Ovis aries: one gene and its partners. The protein of the gene in region 1 interacts with the protein of each later gene in a pairwise test. Links are inferred from orthologs where the notes say so. Each region holds a gene or a part of one and is shown in the gene's direction. Other genes may lie near its edges. The genes, in order: DRAP1, NFYB, GTF2B and POLE3.

What was found.
Region 2: the proteins of DRAP1 (region 1) and NFYB interact in binary tests that used the Homo sapiens proteins (3 or more experiments, as listed by UniProt). The two-hybrid records come from large-scale screens. The link is inferred for Ovis aries from reciprocal best matches to the Homo sapiens genes DRAP1 and NFYB.
Region 3: the proteins of DRAP1 (region 1) and GTF2B interact in binary tests that used the Homo sapiens proteins (3 or more experiments, as listed by UniProt). The two-hybrid records come from large-scale screens. The link is inferred for Ovis aries from reciprocal best matches to the Homo sapiens genes DRAP1 and GTF2B.
Region 4: the proteins of DRAP1 (region 1) and POLE3 interact in binary tests that used the Homo sapiens proteins (3 or more experiments, as listed by UniProt). The two-hybrid records come from large-scale screens. The link is inferred for Ovis aries from reciprocal best matches to the Homo sapiens genes DRAP1 and POLE3.

The regions. Positions count from the first base shown.
Region 1 is NC_056074.1:40,463,732-40,467,645, forward strand, and holds DRAP1 (dr1-associated corepressor), read left to right. Parts: upstream 1-1,254; 5' UTR 1,255-1,386; coding exon 1,387-1,428; intron 1,429-1,671; coding exon 1,672-1,744; intron 1,745-1,852; coding exon 1,853-1,946; intron 1,947-2,218; coding exon 2,219-2,338; intron 2,339-2,458; coding exon 2,459-2,552; intron 2,553-2,760; coding exon 2,761-2,849; intron 2,850-3,179; coding exon 3,180-3,285; 3' UTR 3,286-3,397; downstream 3,398-3,914. Other genes in the region: C21H11orf68 (UPF0696 protein C11orf68 homolog), read right to left, coding at 862-983. UniProt on the Homo sapiens protein: The association of the DR1/DRAP1 heterodimer with TBP results in a functional repression of both activated and basal transcription of class II genes.
Region 2 is NC_056056.1:173,375,364-173,378,930, reverse strand, and holds part of NFYB (nuclear transcription factor Y subunit beta), read left to right. Parts: intron 1-791; coding exon 792-989; intron 990-2,214; coding exon 2,215-2,296; intron 2,297-2,988; coding exon 2,989-3,116; 3' UTR 3,117-3,567. UniProt on the Homo sapiens protein: Component of the sequence-specific heterotrimeric transcription factor (NF-Y) which specifically recognizes a 5'-CCAAT-3' box motif found in the promoters of its target genes.
Region 3 is NC_056054.1:66,123,997-66,128,302, reverse strand, and holds the start of GTF2B (transcription initiation factor IIB), read left to right. Parts: upstream 1-1,441; 5' UTR 1,442-1,510; coding exon 1,511-1,527; intron 1,528-4,306. UniProt on the Homo sapiens protein: General transcription factor that plays a role in transcription initiation by RNA polymerase II (Pol II). Involved in the pre-initiation complex (PIC) formation and Pol II recruitment at promoter DNA.
Region 4 is NC_056057.1:710,589-713,278, forward strand, and holds POLE3 (DNA polymerase epsilon subunit 3), read left to right. Parts: upstream 1-1,483; 5' UTR 1,484-1,583; coding exon 1,584-2,027; 3' UTR 2,028-2,143; downstream 2,144-2,690. UniProt on the Homo sapiens protein: Accessory component of the DNA polymerase epsilon complex. Participates in DNA repair and in chromosomal DNA replication.

The DNA.
Region 1 (3,914 bases):
AATCCCATGGATGGAGGAGCCTGGTAGGCTACAGTCCACGGGTCACTAAGAGTCGGACACGACTGAGCGACTTCACTTTCACTTTTCACTTTCATGCACTGGAGAAGGAAATGGCAACCCACTCCAGTGTTCTTGCCTGGAGAATCCCAGGGACGGGGGAGCCTGTTGGGCTGACGTCTATGGGGTCGCACAGAGTCGGACACGACTGGAGCGACTTAGCAGCAGCAGCAGCAGCAGCAGCAGCAGCAGCAGGGGGTGCCAGGCACTGAACTGAACGGTGTGGGCCTGGGCCTCGGCTGCCGCGTCTCCACAATGGATAACAACTTGTTACTGCCTCAAGCAGTTGTGCAGAATTAACCGCCTGAGGTGGAACAAAAGCTATATAAATGTAGTTAGTGTTATTACTGCTCTCCTTGACCTACAAACGAGGAAACCGAAGCTCAGAGAGAAGGGGCTCACTGCAGGTCACACCTTCAGTGAGTGATAGGGCCGAAACGGCAATTCAAATGCGGGAACCGCCGGCCCAGCTACGCCTCCTGGCCCTGCCAGAGCCTGGCCGCTCTCCCGGGCGCTGGGATTTAATGGAGGGAGGCAAAGCACACGTCCTCGCCGCACCGAGGCAGGGCCCATGGGGCCAGGCCTCCGGGCGAGCGTTATCCAACCTACTTAAAGACGAGGGCACTGAGGCGAGAAACGGGCAGTGTCCGATCCGAGACCAACGGGGCGGTGCCTGGACTCGAACCCCGGCTGGATAGAGGCTGCAGGAGAGCCTGCCTCCCGCCCCGCCGCGCCCGCCGCCATTAGTGCCCACGGCCCGAGCTGCGCCCCCGTCCTGCCCCCTCCCGCCAACCCCAGCGTCACCTCCGGCCTTCGCTGCGCTCGGCGCCGGGCCAGCCCCGGGCCCGGCTCCGTTCCTGCCGGGGATCTGCGCCGCTGCCACCGCCGCGCCCCGCCCCCGCCACGGCTGCCGCCGCCGCCGCCATCTTAGTACCCCGGCGCCTCAACAAGAACTTTATAGACAAACGCAGCACAGGGCGGGGCCGGGAAGGGGCGGGGCCATGGGGGCGGGGCCATCAGGGAAGGCGAGGAGGGGCGGGCCTTGGGGGGCGGAGCTAACGTTCGCTCTTCAGGTCTTGGGGGCGGGCGGGAGTGGCGGTTCCGCCCCGGACGGACGCGCAAAGCCCGGGAGGCTCTAAGGGGGAGGGCGCTCGGGCCCTGCCGGCGGCGTCCTGACCGGCGGCGCTAGGACCCTGTAGGAAGCGTTGGGGGCGGAGCCGGCGGCACCAGGACCCGGGGGAACCGCGGCGGACGGGCTAAGAGCAGGCCCGGGTGCCGGGAGGCTGCGGGCGGCGGCGCTGGGTCCGGCGCGGCGGGAGAGGCCCCGAGATGCCGAGCAAGAAGAAGAAGTACAACGCGCGGTTCCCGCCGGTGAGCACGTGAGCGGGCCCCAGAGGAACGGGCCGGGCTCTCGGGAAGCTCCGGCCCAGGCCGGACTAGGGAGGCGGGCGCATCGCCGTGTTCGGGGCCCCGTACGCCCCGCCCCCTTCCGTGCCCTTCCAGCGTGGGTGCCCCCCGCCCCCTTTCTCCCGGGATGCTCCCTCTCTCTGCCCGGCTTAAGCACCCTTTCTGGGACGGAGGCTACGGGGTCCGAGCTGTCTGCCCCCTCCCCAGGCACGAATCAAGAAGATCATGCAGACGGATGAAGAGATTGGGAAGGTGGCGGCGGCCGTGCCTGTCATCATCTGTATCCTGTCGGGAGCTGTCGGGATGGGGGAGTGGGGGAGCCCGGCAGCCCCGGGGTCGCTTTTTGTGGACTGGGCCACCACCCTGCGTTCTCCTTGACCCTCCTCAGCTCGGGCGCTCGAGCTTTTCTTGGAGTCTCTGTTGAAGAAAGCATGCCAAGTTACCCAGTCCCGAAACGCCAAGACCATGACTACATCCCACCTGTGAGTGGCTCCGATCCTAGAGGGCCCAGTTGGGGGTCTTCCTCCAGTTCACACGCCTGGGGGAGGCTGTGCCCTGATAAGGAATTGGTAGGCTGCTGTGAGATCTGTGGATTTGAGGAGGAGGATTAGGATGTTCTGGCCAAGGGGGAGGGTTGGGGTGGAAATTTTCCAGGTTCCATTCCCCTGACATCCACAGAGTCCGTACTGTCCCTTGTTGAGGGCCCAGATGTCTGGGCCTCATCCGAGTGCCAACCCCTTCCCACTTCTTCCAGGAAACAGTGCATTGAGCTGGAGCAGCAGTTTGACTTCTTGAAGGACCTGGTGGCATCTGTGCCTGACATGCAGGGGGATGGAGAAGACAACCACATGGATGGGGACAAGGGTCCCCGCAGGTAGGGTGCCAGGGACCAGTGTCCAGGTGGGGAAGGCCAAGGCCCCTGGACTTGGGGATGGCTGGGGAGTGGTGAAGGAGTGGGGAGACCTGTGGGCAGATGTACTGTACCTTCCCGAAGGGGCCGGAAGCCAGGCAGCAGTGGCCGGAAGAACGGTGGGATGGGAAGCAAAGGCAAGGACAAGAAGCTGTCAGGGACGGACTCAGAGCAGGAGGTGAGTGAGGCCCTAGGCTTCTGGCCCATAGGGTGGACAGGGCAGCCCTATACCAGGCCAGGATGAGCTGGCTGGGGGCCTGGTCCCTCACCTGTGACCTTTGTATTGGTTTCTTTGTAAATTGGGGTTAGTGAGGTCAGCCTCCTGTCCCTGCTTTCCAGTGATGGGGCCCTGCCCTTCTAGTCTCTAAGTCCTGCCTTGTTCTCAGGATGAGTCTGAGGATACAGACAGTGACGGAGAAGAGGAGACACCACAGGTCCCACCCCAGGCCAGCCACCCCCCTGCCCACTTTCAGAGGTAAGTGGCACCAAGGGGCCCACTGACCCCAAGACTGACTCTGGCCTCCCTCCTGGCCTCCCTAGCCACTTGGTTTTGTTGGTCATGGCAGACTGGGGGGATGGTAGGGGAAGAACTAAGAAGGACTTCAAGGCTGGGGACTGTACTCTCAGAAGGTCCTCTTCTGCTAGGTGGGGCTGTGTGACCTGCCCTGGGTCCTTCCGTTCTCTGGGCTTGCTCCCTGTTGGTACAGAGGGTAGTGGGCTCCGGGGATGCCCAGGTGGGGCTGAGTGGGTGGGGATGGGCACCAGAGAGTGGCCTGATCTTTCTTTACTGCTTTCTCCCCTGCAGCCCCCCGACACCCTTCATGCCCTTCACCTCGACCCTGCCTCTGCCCCCAGCACCCCCGGGCCCCTCAGCACCTGACGCAGAGGAAGAAGAGGATTATGACTCCTAGCGCCCTCTGCCCCCCAGGCCACACCCCCTTTAGTTTGTTTTAGTTGCTCTGGGGGGAAGAGAGACCATAGAGCTGTTCTTAAATTTATTAATAAAATAATAACAAAAGGGAACACTCACGTCTGTCCCGGTTTTTGTCCAGGGTTTGTGGCCTCCTTCTCTCCTTCCACCTCCTTCCTGATGCTGAGCTGGGACCCAGAGCCCCGGGGGGCTGGGCAGCAGCTGACTGAAGAGGGGGGGCTGGAGGCCACAGTTCTGCCAGCGCAGGGCCAGGGGTGCCAATGGAAGGAAGGCCGGTCAGAGCGGCAGAGGGTCTGAGCCAGCTGGTGCCGGTCATGCTGGGGGACAGCCTGTCTCATGGTGCTGTGTGTCCGTGGGTAGGTTCCTCTTCTCTGAATGACTTCTTCTTGGCTCTCTGATGTAGACCATTCTGTTCACTCTGGGTTGCTGCAAAGGGACAGGTAACAGAAATGAGTCTGGGAAACTAGAGCTTGGGCCACTTGCCTTAAAGGACATGAGGAGGGGCAGTGGGGGCAGAGGTAGGTGGTGTGGTGGGGGCCCCATGAAGGCTGGCTGGTGAGCAGGCAGTGACTCTGAGCAGACCCTGGAGCTATGCGCACGAGGCAGACA
Region 2 (3,567 bases), on another chromosome or scaffold:
CATTTTTTTTTTTAGCATAGCTGCTAGAAAATCTGAAGTCCTGTATACAGCTCACATTATATTATCTTGCTTAACTGCATTTATGCAGTAACTCTTGTTACTTTTCTCCAGGATGTAAAATAGGTGTGGAGGTGAAAGACAGTGTGTTTCAGCAAGGATTTGGTCATTCCTGTTAGACGTGACTTTGGAATTGCATGGTTTAGTCTATTACAGTTTCACTTTGAAACCCTAGATCGCTGAGTGAATAAGATGACAGGTGTGTGCTTCTTTTGGTAGGCTTTTTCATAAACTCAAAACCTATTCCTGACACTCTGTGTCTTTATTAATAAAAATGTCACTAGATGTCATTATTTCACTCCCTTGTAAGCCTTACACAAACTTATTTGTTTTTAAAAACTTTCTGGTGTCCTCACTGGTGGAAACGCCAAGGCAGAGAAGCAGGACTTGAGTCTAGCCCACAGGACGCTCCAGACATAACAGGATTGATTTTCTTGGGCACTTGGTTAGTAAGAATTTTCATCTTTATTGGGTAATAGAGTCATCTAGTGGTTGCTTTTGTACCTAAATTCTGTTTTTTGTGAATAGCTGTCAAAGCCTCTCTCCTTGTATTTGAGTTTTCAGTCTCACTCTGGGGGTTCGAATTTTGACAACATACATTATTCAGTGTTATTAGCAGGTTAACAGTCATTAACTGAAATTTATATTCTTCTGAATAACTTTCTATTTTTGCAGGTTGTTAGGAAAGTGGTGATTGTATTCCCTGCAGATTTACCTTCGATTTTTCTCCTCAGATTGCAAAAGATGCCAAAGAATGTGTTCAAGAATGTGTGAGCGAGTTCATCAGCTTCATAACATCTGAAGCGAGTGAAAGATGCCACCAAGAGAAGCGGAAGACAATCAACGGAGAAGACATTCTTTTTGCCATGTCTACCTTAGGCTTCGACAGTTACGTAGAACCTCTGAAACTATACCTTCAAAAGTTCAGAGAGGTAAGTAAAGTGTCTCCTGTTATGCTTTTAAGAAAATTAAGGTACACTATTCCCTTTAACTTTTTAAACATGTGAATCATTTCTCAGAAGTATGTAATCAGTTATATTATTGAACTTAAATAGCAAGTCCTTTCTTCTTCCCTTTATTACTAATGGCAGCATAATTATGTAATGACTAAAAGAGCATGGACTCTGGATTTACACCACCTGGATGCTGAACTCCATGACCCTGGGCAGACTATTTAAGTACTTTAGGCCTTGGTTTCCTGGTCTGTAAAGTGAGGCTAATAATAGGACTTAAGACAAAGTAAAACAATCCATGTACAACCCTTGGCCTGGCACATACTGAATGGTCAATAATGTCACTAATAGCACATGCTGTTATTGTTATTAATTTAAAAGAGGTAGTATCTTAGCTTGGGGCATTTAGATAAAAAGATAGGGAACTACAACTATATCATTTTCTTATATTAATTAAATTTTTCTACATCTCATGTTTGGTTTTGCTTTGCCTATGGTATGAATTTGTGAAAATGAATTGAGATCAGCATATTTTTAAATTCTACACTCCAACTTGGGTGTCAGATTCATACTACTCATATTTCCTTAATGTCTTTAGTGTTAGAATCCCATTAACTTTGTGATATCTGTACAAAATGACTGGAGTAGGAAGAGAATATGTTAATTCTCTACAGAACTTTTCCAGATCTTCAGCATCATTAGATTATTAGAACCTGAGAGTAGACAGACACTTAAGCGGTCTTCGATCCAAACTGTATTCTGATTGAGGAATTTTAAACTCCCAGCTGTCTGCCTCTGTGCTGCCCCGTTGGCCAAGAGATGTGTATATAGTTAAATGATACTGGGATCACTTGTAGTAGATTTGCAAGCTGAGTATTTATAATATTTTGCAGACTACTTTATCTGTAATTAGACTTTTCTTTTTGACGTAGTGTCGAATTAGAATAACTTTTTACTCATAAGTATTTTAGATTTTCTAGGTCATTACTAACACTGTCTTGTGATGACTACTACATATATAGCAGTTAGCATTTTGAAGGACCTCTCCGTATGTTATTAACCAGAAGTGTTAATAAACAGTTTTATAAGAATAGAAGCTTCTAATTCTAGGAACTAAGCAAGCATTTTCATTTAGGAAGTAGGTTTTTGTTGCTGCTGTTGATGTTTTGAGTACAAGTGATTACTGTTTCATTTCCTTCCCCAGGCTATGAAAGGAGAAAAAGGAATTGGTGGAGCAGTCACAGCTACAGATGGACTAAGCGAAGAGCTTACAGAGGAGGCATTTAGTAAGTAGTGTTATGATACATTTATGCAAGTAAATTGTTGGCAGTGATTAACAGGATATGTCTTTAGTGGAACTTTTGGAATATTAGCACTGTGTGTTTTGACATAGTACTATTTTGAATAGTTCTTACTAGTTCATGCCCTTATATTTGAAGTTCGTGAGGGATAAGTGTATAAATTTTAATTCTGCAGAGATTATAATCTTTTACCAATAGTTCTGATTTCCATAGTCCCTAATTTTTTATTTAAGATTCATGAGATAGGAATATTGAGAATTGTTTATAATATTAAATCTTGTGATTTAAATAAATTTGAACTGAAGGTTTCTTAAAAATTGAGACATTAGGCATTGGTGAAATAAAAGGTCTATGGTGACTATATTTCTCATGTAAAATTTATATGTATATATTTTTATATTTCTCATATTTAAAATACATACTGCTTAGTTATGTAAGTGTTGTTCTCAGCCAAGCCTAAGCCTAGAGTTTAGGTGTATTTATGAATCAGAAACTTAATCCATCTTTTATGCACATGGGCAGTTAGTACACTTCATAAAATTGAAAAAATGCTATAGAAAAAAATGTGCTTTTGGGGAAACTTTTTTTAAATGGAAAATCACCCAGTCTTAAGATTCAGGTCAAGAAAGCAGATGCACTTCTTTACCTACTTTGGCATTTGTTTGTTTGTCTTTTAGCTAACCAGTTACCAGCTGGCTTAATAACTGCAGATGGTCAGCAACAAAATGTTATGGTTTACACAACATCATATCAACAGGTACCATACTTTTTTTGTATTTTAAATTACTTAAATTATATTCATTGATTTTTTTAAAAAAAAATCACAGGTAGTTAGCATCAACATAATTATTAAGAACTGGATAAAGAGGCTTGTTAAAAACTGTTTTCTCAAAATATATAACTGTGTATAGTATTCTCTTATGGTTACAGATATGTACACAGATGTTCATTTAGTCTGTCCTTCATATCCATGGGTTCCACACCATGGATTCAACCAGCTGTGGATCATATGCCGTCTCCAATCCGTCGTTGGTTGAATCCGCAGATGGAATTTACAGATGCAGAACCCGTGGATACTGAAAGCTGACTAAAGGACTTGAGCATCTGTGCATTTTGGCATCTACAGGGCGTTCTGGAACCAGTCTGCCGTGGATATTGAGGGAATGAGTGTATTCACATAGATTTCTATAAAGATATACAAGAGATTGTTGAAGTAGCTCCTTAGGTAGAGAGAATGGAGATTTGGGATGGGAACT
Region 3 (4,306 bases), on another chromosome or scaffold:
TTTGCCCACATCTACTTGATCATCGGAAAAGCAAGAGTTCCAGAAAAACATGTTTCTGCTTTATTGACTATGCCAAAGCCTTTGACTGTGTGGATCACAAACTGTGGAAAATTCTGAAAGAGATGGGAATACCAGACCACCTGACCTGCCTCTTGAGAAACCTGTATGCAGGTCAAGAAGTAACAGTTAGAACTGGACATGGAACAATGGACTGGTTCCAAACAGGAAAAGGAGTCCGTCAAGGCTGTACATCATCACCCTGCTTATTTAACTTCTATACAGAGTACATCATGAGAAACGCTGCGCTGGGGGAAGCACAAGCTGGAATCAAGATTGCTGGGAGAATTATCAATAACCTCAGTTATGCACATGACACCACCCTTATGGCAGAAAGTGAGGAAGAACTAAAAAGCCTGTTGATGAAAGTGAAAGGGGAGAGTGAAAAAGTTAGCTTAAAACTCAACATTCAGAAAACTAAGATCATGGCATCTGGTCCCATCATTTCATGGCAAATAGATGGGTAACAGTGGACACAATGGCTGACTTTATTTTTCTGGGCTCCAAAATCACTGCAGATGGTGATTGCAGCCAAGAAATTAAAAGACACTTGCTCCTTGGAAGGAAAGTTATGACCAACCTAGACAACATATTAAAAAGCAGAGACATTACTTTGTCAACAAAGGTCCGTCTAGTCAAGGCTATGGTTTTTCCTGTGGTCATGTATGGATGTGAGAGTTGGACTATAAAGAAGGCTGAGCACCAAAGAATTGATGCCTTTGAACTGCGTTATTGGAGAAGACTCTTGAGAGTCCCTTGGACTGCAAGGAGATCCAACCAGTCCATCCTAAAGGAAATCAGTCTTGGGTGTTCATTGCTGGGACTGATGTTGAAGCTGCCACTCCAATACTTTGGCCACCTGATGCGAGGAGCTGACTCATTTGAAAAGACCCTGATGCTGGGAAAGATTAAGGGCAGGAGGAGAAAGGGATGACAGAGGATGAGATGGTTGGATGGCATCACCGACTCGATGGATATGGGTTTGGGTGGACTCCGGGAATTGGTGATGGACAGGAAGGCCTGGAGTGCTGCGATTCATGGGGTCACAAAGAGTCGGACACGACTGAGCGACTGAACTGAAGTGAACGGATGCGGGCTTTGCCCCCTCCACGGAGCCCAGTATTTTGTGTTGTAACTCAGTCAAGTTGAGGGTATCTCTGGTGCAGCACGTTTGCAGAGTGCCCTTGGGAATTTTCCCGGGTGATTTCCTATATTTGCCCAGCCACATAGAAAATGATCGAAAGTGAATAGGGAAGTAAGAAAACGCAAAGCACGGGGCGTACCCGAGCTCACTGTTCTTGGCCCTTCTCCGGACCCGTAGCCACGCCCTATTACGACTGCGTGGGCGATTCGCCTATAAAAGCCCGTCTCGCTGCGTTTCGTCGCCACTGTCTCTTCCTGTTTGCGGTTGCGTCTGTCGTTGTTTGTAGCTGGAGCCGCAGTGGCCGGGAAGATGGCGTCTACCAGCCGGTTAGTACGTCATGTAGAGCCCAGCCAGCTGAAGGGCGGGCGGCGAGTGCCGGGGCTAGCAGGGCGGCCGCTCCCGCTGCTTCGTCGAGCAGAACGCCTCGGAAGTGCGGGGAGAGGCAGCCGGACCGGCTGGCCGCCCGGGACAAAGGCACTTCCAGACGCAGGGCTGTCAGGGGTGTCGCAGGGGATAACGAGCCGCCGGCGTTTCTCCTCCAGCGTCCTTGGTCGTTTTCTCACTCAGGCACTATCATGTGGGGGGCTCCGGTGTCCCCAGCCCCTGGCCTCGGGTCTTTTGCGTATGATCCAACTGTCCTTTTTTCCTAAATTTTCTACGCTTGTTTTTTTTAATCTGTTGGTCTGCCAGCGGAGGGTCCGTGAATCCTCTTCTAGAGAGCGGGAAAGGGTTAGTTCTAGGCCTTTATCCATCTGACAAAAAGTTAGGGACGTCAGCGTTGGTAAACCTGATGGAAACTGATAACCATCCCCGAGGCCTTTTGAAGTGGAAGCTAAGGCATTTCTGAAGAGTTGATAAGTCTCCTTAAGAGATTTCTTTAGAGATGTCATCTGCATACTCCTGAAGAAAATTTTGCCTGCAGAAAATTAACATACTGGGAAGTCACTCAGAAGGCAACGCACTCTAGTGTTCTTGCCTGGAGAAGCCCAGGGACGGGGGAGCCTGGTGGGCTGCCATCTATGGGGTCGCACAGTGTCGGACACGATTGAAGCGACTTAACAGCAGCCGCAGCAGAGAAGTCACTAATATATTTTTAAAATGTGATGTACTGATTGATACCTACTGCAAATGCATACAGTGGCATTAGAGACAGCCTTTAATCCTGTGACGTGAAAAATGCTTGCAGACCCTAATTATGTCTCTCATGACCCTGAGGTAGATATTAGGATTTTTGCCTAAGTGTAAACTGAGTCATGCCCATGTTGGCTTTTCGAAGGTTAGTATTAGAACAGAGTATAGAATCTCAGATATCTGTTTCCTGTTGTCACACTTGGTAACTCATAATGTACTAAACATATCAGATTAAGTTCTGTAGCTTCTGGAAGGCAAGGTAACTCTGGCATAATTTTTCTGAACTTGTTCTCATCTTTGGAATTGAGTTCCTGATGAAAGCCATCATCACAAAATGATAATCTTTGAGTAGTACAGGCCCTTTCTGGTGAGTACCAAGGCTTACTACTTTGTGTTACTGTATTTTAAAAAGATGGGGCAGGAGGCAGCCTTAGCTAAACTACTTGGAAACAGCTCTTATGGCCAGTGATACTTGTTTACTGATTCTAATTCTGTGATTAAATGTTCAATCATTCTACTTGGGTGTGGCTCTGTCAGGTTAGGGTTCCTTGTAGGTAAATGGAGAACTAGCTTCCCAAGAACACCTATATATAACATTCTCCTAGGGCAGATCTGCTATGAATATGGTTATATTGGGGCTTTATTATAACATATTGTAGTAGTTACATATAGGAAATTCACTTGATAGATTCTTTACGGAAACATTTCCTTTGTGTGCTTTATTCTCTTCATTAAAAGAAAAAATGTGAGATATTTCTTTGAAATAAATTTTCCCTAGGTTTATTGCAGTTGTCCATCTCTGAGTTTTTTTTACCCGTGAGAACAAAGGTGGATGTTAGTATTTCTGTGATAGCTTTTTTCCCCCTGAGGAAGAGGGACAGTTACTGGACTATGAAACTGCTTGGTGTTTTCACAGAGAAGAACACAAATGTTGTGAGTTCAGATCTAAACTCTACCACTCATTAGTTCTGTGACTTCAGGAAAATCATTCTCTGAGCATAATCTTTAAAATAGAGGTAATGCTTAATTTGTGGAGAAGGCAATGGCACCCTGCTCCAGTACTCTTGCCTGGAAAATCCCATGGAAGGAGCAGCCTGGAAGGCTGCAGTACATGGGGTTGCTGAGGGTCGGACACGACTAACTTCACTTTCGATTTTCACTTTCATGCATTGGAGAAGGAAATGGCAACCCACTCCATTGTTCTTGCCTGGGGAATCCCAGGGATGGGGGAGCCTCCTGGGCTGCCGTCTGTGGGGTCGCACAGAGTTGGACACGACTGAAACAGCTTAGCAGCAGTAGCAGCAATGCTTAATTTGAAGGGTTGCTAATGAAGATTAATAATAGATGTACAGTACTAGACACAGTAAAGGATAGCTATAAAATGAAGTTAGGAATTATGTGGCTTCTTAGGCAGCCTAAGTTGTTTTAATGTCAGTGGTGGTGGTATACTCCATTCCTTCCCTCTTGTTTCTTTCCCTGACTTCCCCCACTACCCTACTCTTGTGGTTCCTCTTTTGTATTACCCTTGTGGGTTATTTAATTAAAAGTTAACTGCTTGAGCACAATTTTATTTTATTTTGAATAGGTAACACATGCAAATCATAAAAAGCAAGAAGAAAAGTGAAAAGCAGTTTCTTTTTTCCCTCGCTCCTAGCCATCTAATTCTTCTCCAAAGCAGTCATTGTAACCAGTTTCTTGGTGTTTTCCTAATGATTCTGTGGTTTAACAAACATATTCATATAATCCTAACCTCTCTTCCTTCCAAAAAGTAGTCTAATATAAAAAATGAATGCCATCTTGCTTTTTACCTTTTTTTGTGAAGTTTTTAGCACACAGATTTTAAGTGTGCAGTTCAGTTACAAAGTGAGCATGTACACTTAGCTGTCACCCAAGTCTCCCGAATAAATACCACTAGCAGCAGCAGCACTCTGGAAACCTCCTTTATGCCCTCAGTCAGTACTCTTTCTCAAAGAA
Region 4 (2,690 bases), on another chromosome or scaffold:
TACATATATATGAATTATGAATTTCCTTTCTTGAAAAGGACAAATTAGAATCAGGAAAAAGTATTTCTGGTGGTTTCTAGAAATTCCAAAGAAGTAATGGGAACAATAGGTAGCACACAAATCAGTTTTAGTGAAGGAAAATAGTTCTGTTTTAGATACTTCAAAGACAACATACAAATGAACGACTCATATTAAAGATGCTCAATATTACTAAGTATTAGAGAAATGCAAATTCAGAATGGCCATCATTAAAAATGTCTACAAATGACAAATGTTGGAGAGGGTATGGGGAAATGGGAATTCTCCTACATTGCTGGTGTGAATGTAAAATGATATGATAGCTAAAGAGAACAATATAGAGGTTTCTTAAAAAACTCAATATACCTACTAAGTGAACCAGCATATGGATTCTGGATACATACTAGGAAAAAACCATGCTTCAAAAGGTTACATGCACCCTGATGTTCATCACAGTGCTGTTTACAATAGCCAAGACTTGGAAGCAACTTAAATGTCAACAGATGAATGGAGAAACAAAATACAGTATATATATATATATATATATACACACAATGGAATATTACCCAGCAATTAAAAAGAATGAAATATACCAATTACAGCAACAAGGTTTGATCTGAGATTATTATACTAAGTGAAGTAAGTAAGACAAATATCATATGATATGGCTTATATGTAAGAATCTTAAAATAAAAGATACAAATATACTTATTTATAAAACAGGAACACTCAGAGACTTAGAAAACACAATTATGATAACCAGGGGAAAAAGCAGGGAGGGGAGGAATAGACTGTGAGTTTGGGATTGACATGTATATGCTGCTATATTTAAAATAGATAATCAAGAACCTACTGTAGAGCACAGGGATCTCTGGTTAATATTCTGTAATAATCTAAATGGAAAAATAATTTAAAAGACAAAGGATGCTTGTATGGGTATAACTGAATCACTTTGCTGCATACATGCAACTAACACATTATTGCTAATCAATTGTATTTTAATATAAAATAAAAATATAAAAACAACTAAATGAACGAAAGGAAGGTTGTAAGGTATTGATATAAGAATAAACATAAAAATCACTGAAACATCATAAAGATTTTAAAATTAAAAAAAAATTTAAAAATACCAAAAAAAAAAGAAAGTCCAGGAATATACTTAAATAGATGAAAAGTTTTACAAAGATATCAAAGTAATTGAAGCAGAAATAATATATTTTTCAACAAATTATACCACATCAATTAGATATCCGTATATGAAAAAAAGGAACCTCAACCACTACCTAATGCGGTAGATGAAAATTAGCTCTAAATGAGTCATAGATCAAGAGGTCAAAGCTAAACTTATAAAAATTCTGTGAAAAAATTACAATCAAGAACCATAAAGAAACTAAAAAATTGAACATTGTTAATATTTTAAATCTTCTGATCATTAGAGATTATACATTTTAAAAATAAAAAGGGTGGGACGGAAGCCTCGCTGGGTCAGACTGTGGCGACGCGGGAAGTCCAGACGCCGTGGCGGCCTGAAGAGGAGGTCGCAGGCATGGTCCCCGGCCGCGACCATGGCGGAGAGGCCCGAGGACCTAAACCTGCCCAATGCCGTCATCACCAGAATCATCAAGGAGGCGCTCCCGGACGGTGTCAGCATCTCCAAGGAGGCCCGGAGCGCCATCTCCCACGCCACCAGCGTCTTCGTGCTGTACGCCACATCCTGTGCCAACAACTTTGCAATGAAAGGGAAACGCAAGACACTGAATGCCAGCGATGTGCTGTCAGCCATGGAGGAGACGGAGTTTCAGCGGTTCGTTACCCCATTAAAAGAAGCTCTGGAAGCTTATAAGAGGGAGCAGAAAGGCAAGAATGAAGCTTCAGAGCAAAAGAAGAAGGACAAAGACAAAAAAACAGATTCGGAAGAGCAGGACAAGAGCAGGGATGAGGACAATGATGAAGATGAGGAAAGGCTGGAGGAAGAAGAACAGAATAAAGAGGAGGAAGTGGACAACTGAGGAGGATGGGGAGACGCCCCTTGGAAAGAACCACGAGAAAACTTGGTACACGTTTGTGTGAAGCTTGTTCCGGCTGGGCAGAGTAGTCTTAGGCAGAAGAGCCTGATGAGATTGAAATAAAAACTGAATTAATCATCAGGATTATCTTCAAAGCCAGTGCTTACCAGACTCGGAGCATCTGAGTAGCAGAATCCTGGTTTGCTTAATCAGTCTCAAGGTTATAACTTTTGGCAAGAGGGATTCTGAATAGCAAATTTAATTGGTCAGTTTGATCTCTTTTGTTTACATACACATATAGTTAGGCAATTGTTGACCCCCCCCAGTTCCCTCCCTGCCCCCCAGAAAAGTAATAATAACTTCCATGCTGCTAACTGTGTCCCAAATCACAGAGGCAGTTCAGGCTCAGGAAAAATTGAGGTTTGATCACAGTCAACCTATTTGATTATACAATATTTGGCAATACTAGCTTATTTCAAGTGATAAGAATGGCTTAGCTTTAGGAAACTACTAAAAAGGTTGAAGAGAACAATAAAATCTGCTGTTTCTTCATTTGACAGTAACATTAATTTAATTTTGTTTTCTATAGACCCACTTGGCTTAGAGCCCTTCTATATTGCCTGTAGGCGTGTAACCTGCTTGGGAGGCTACCTTCTAGGCACATTG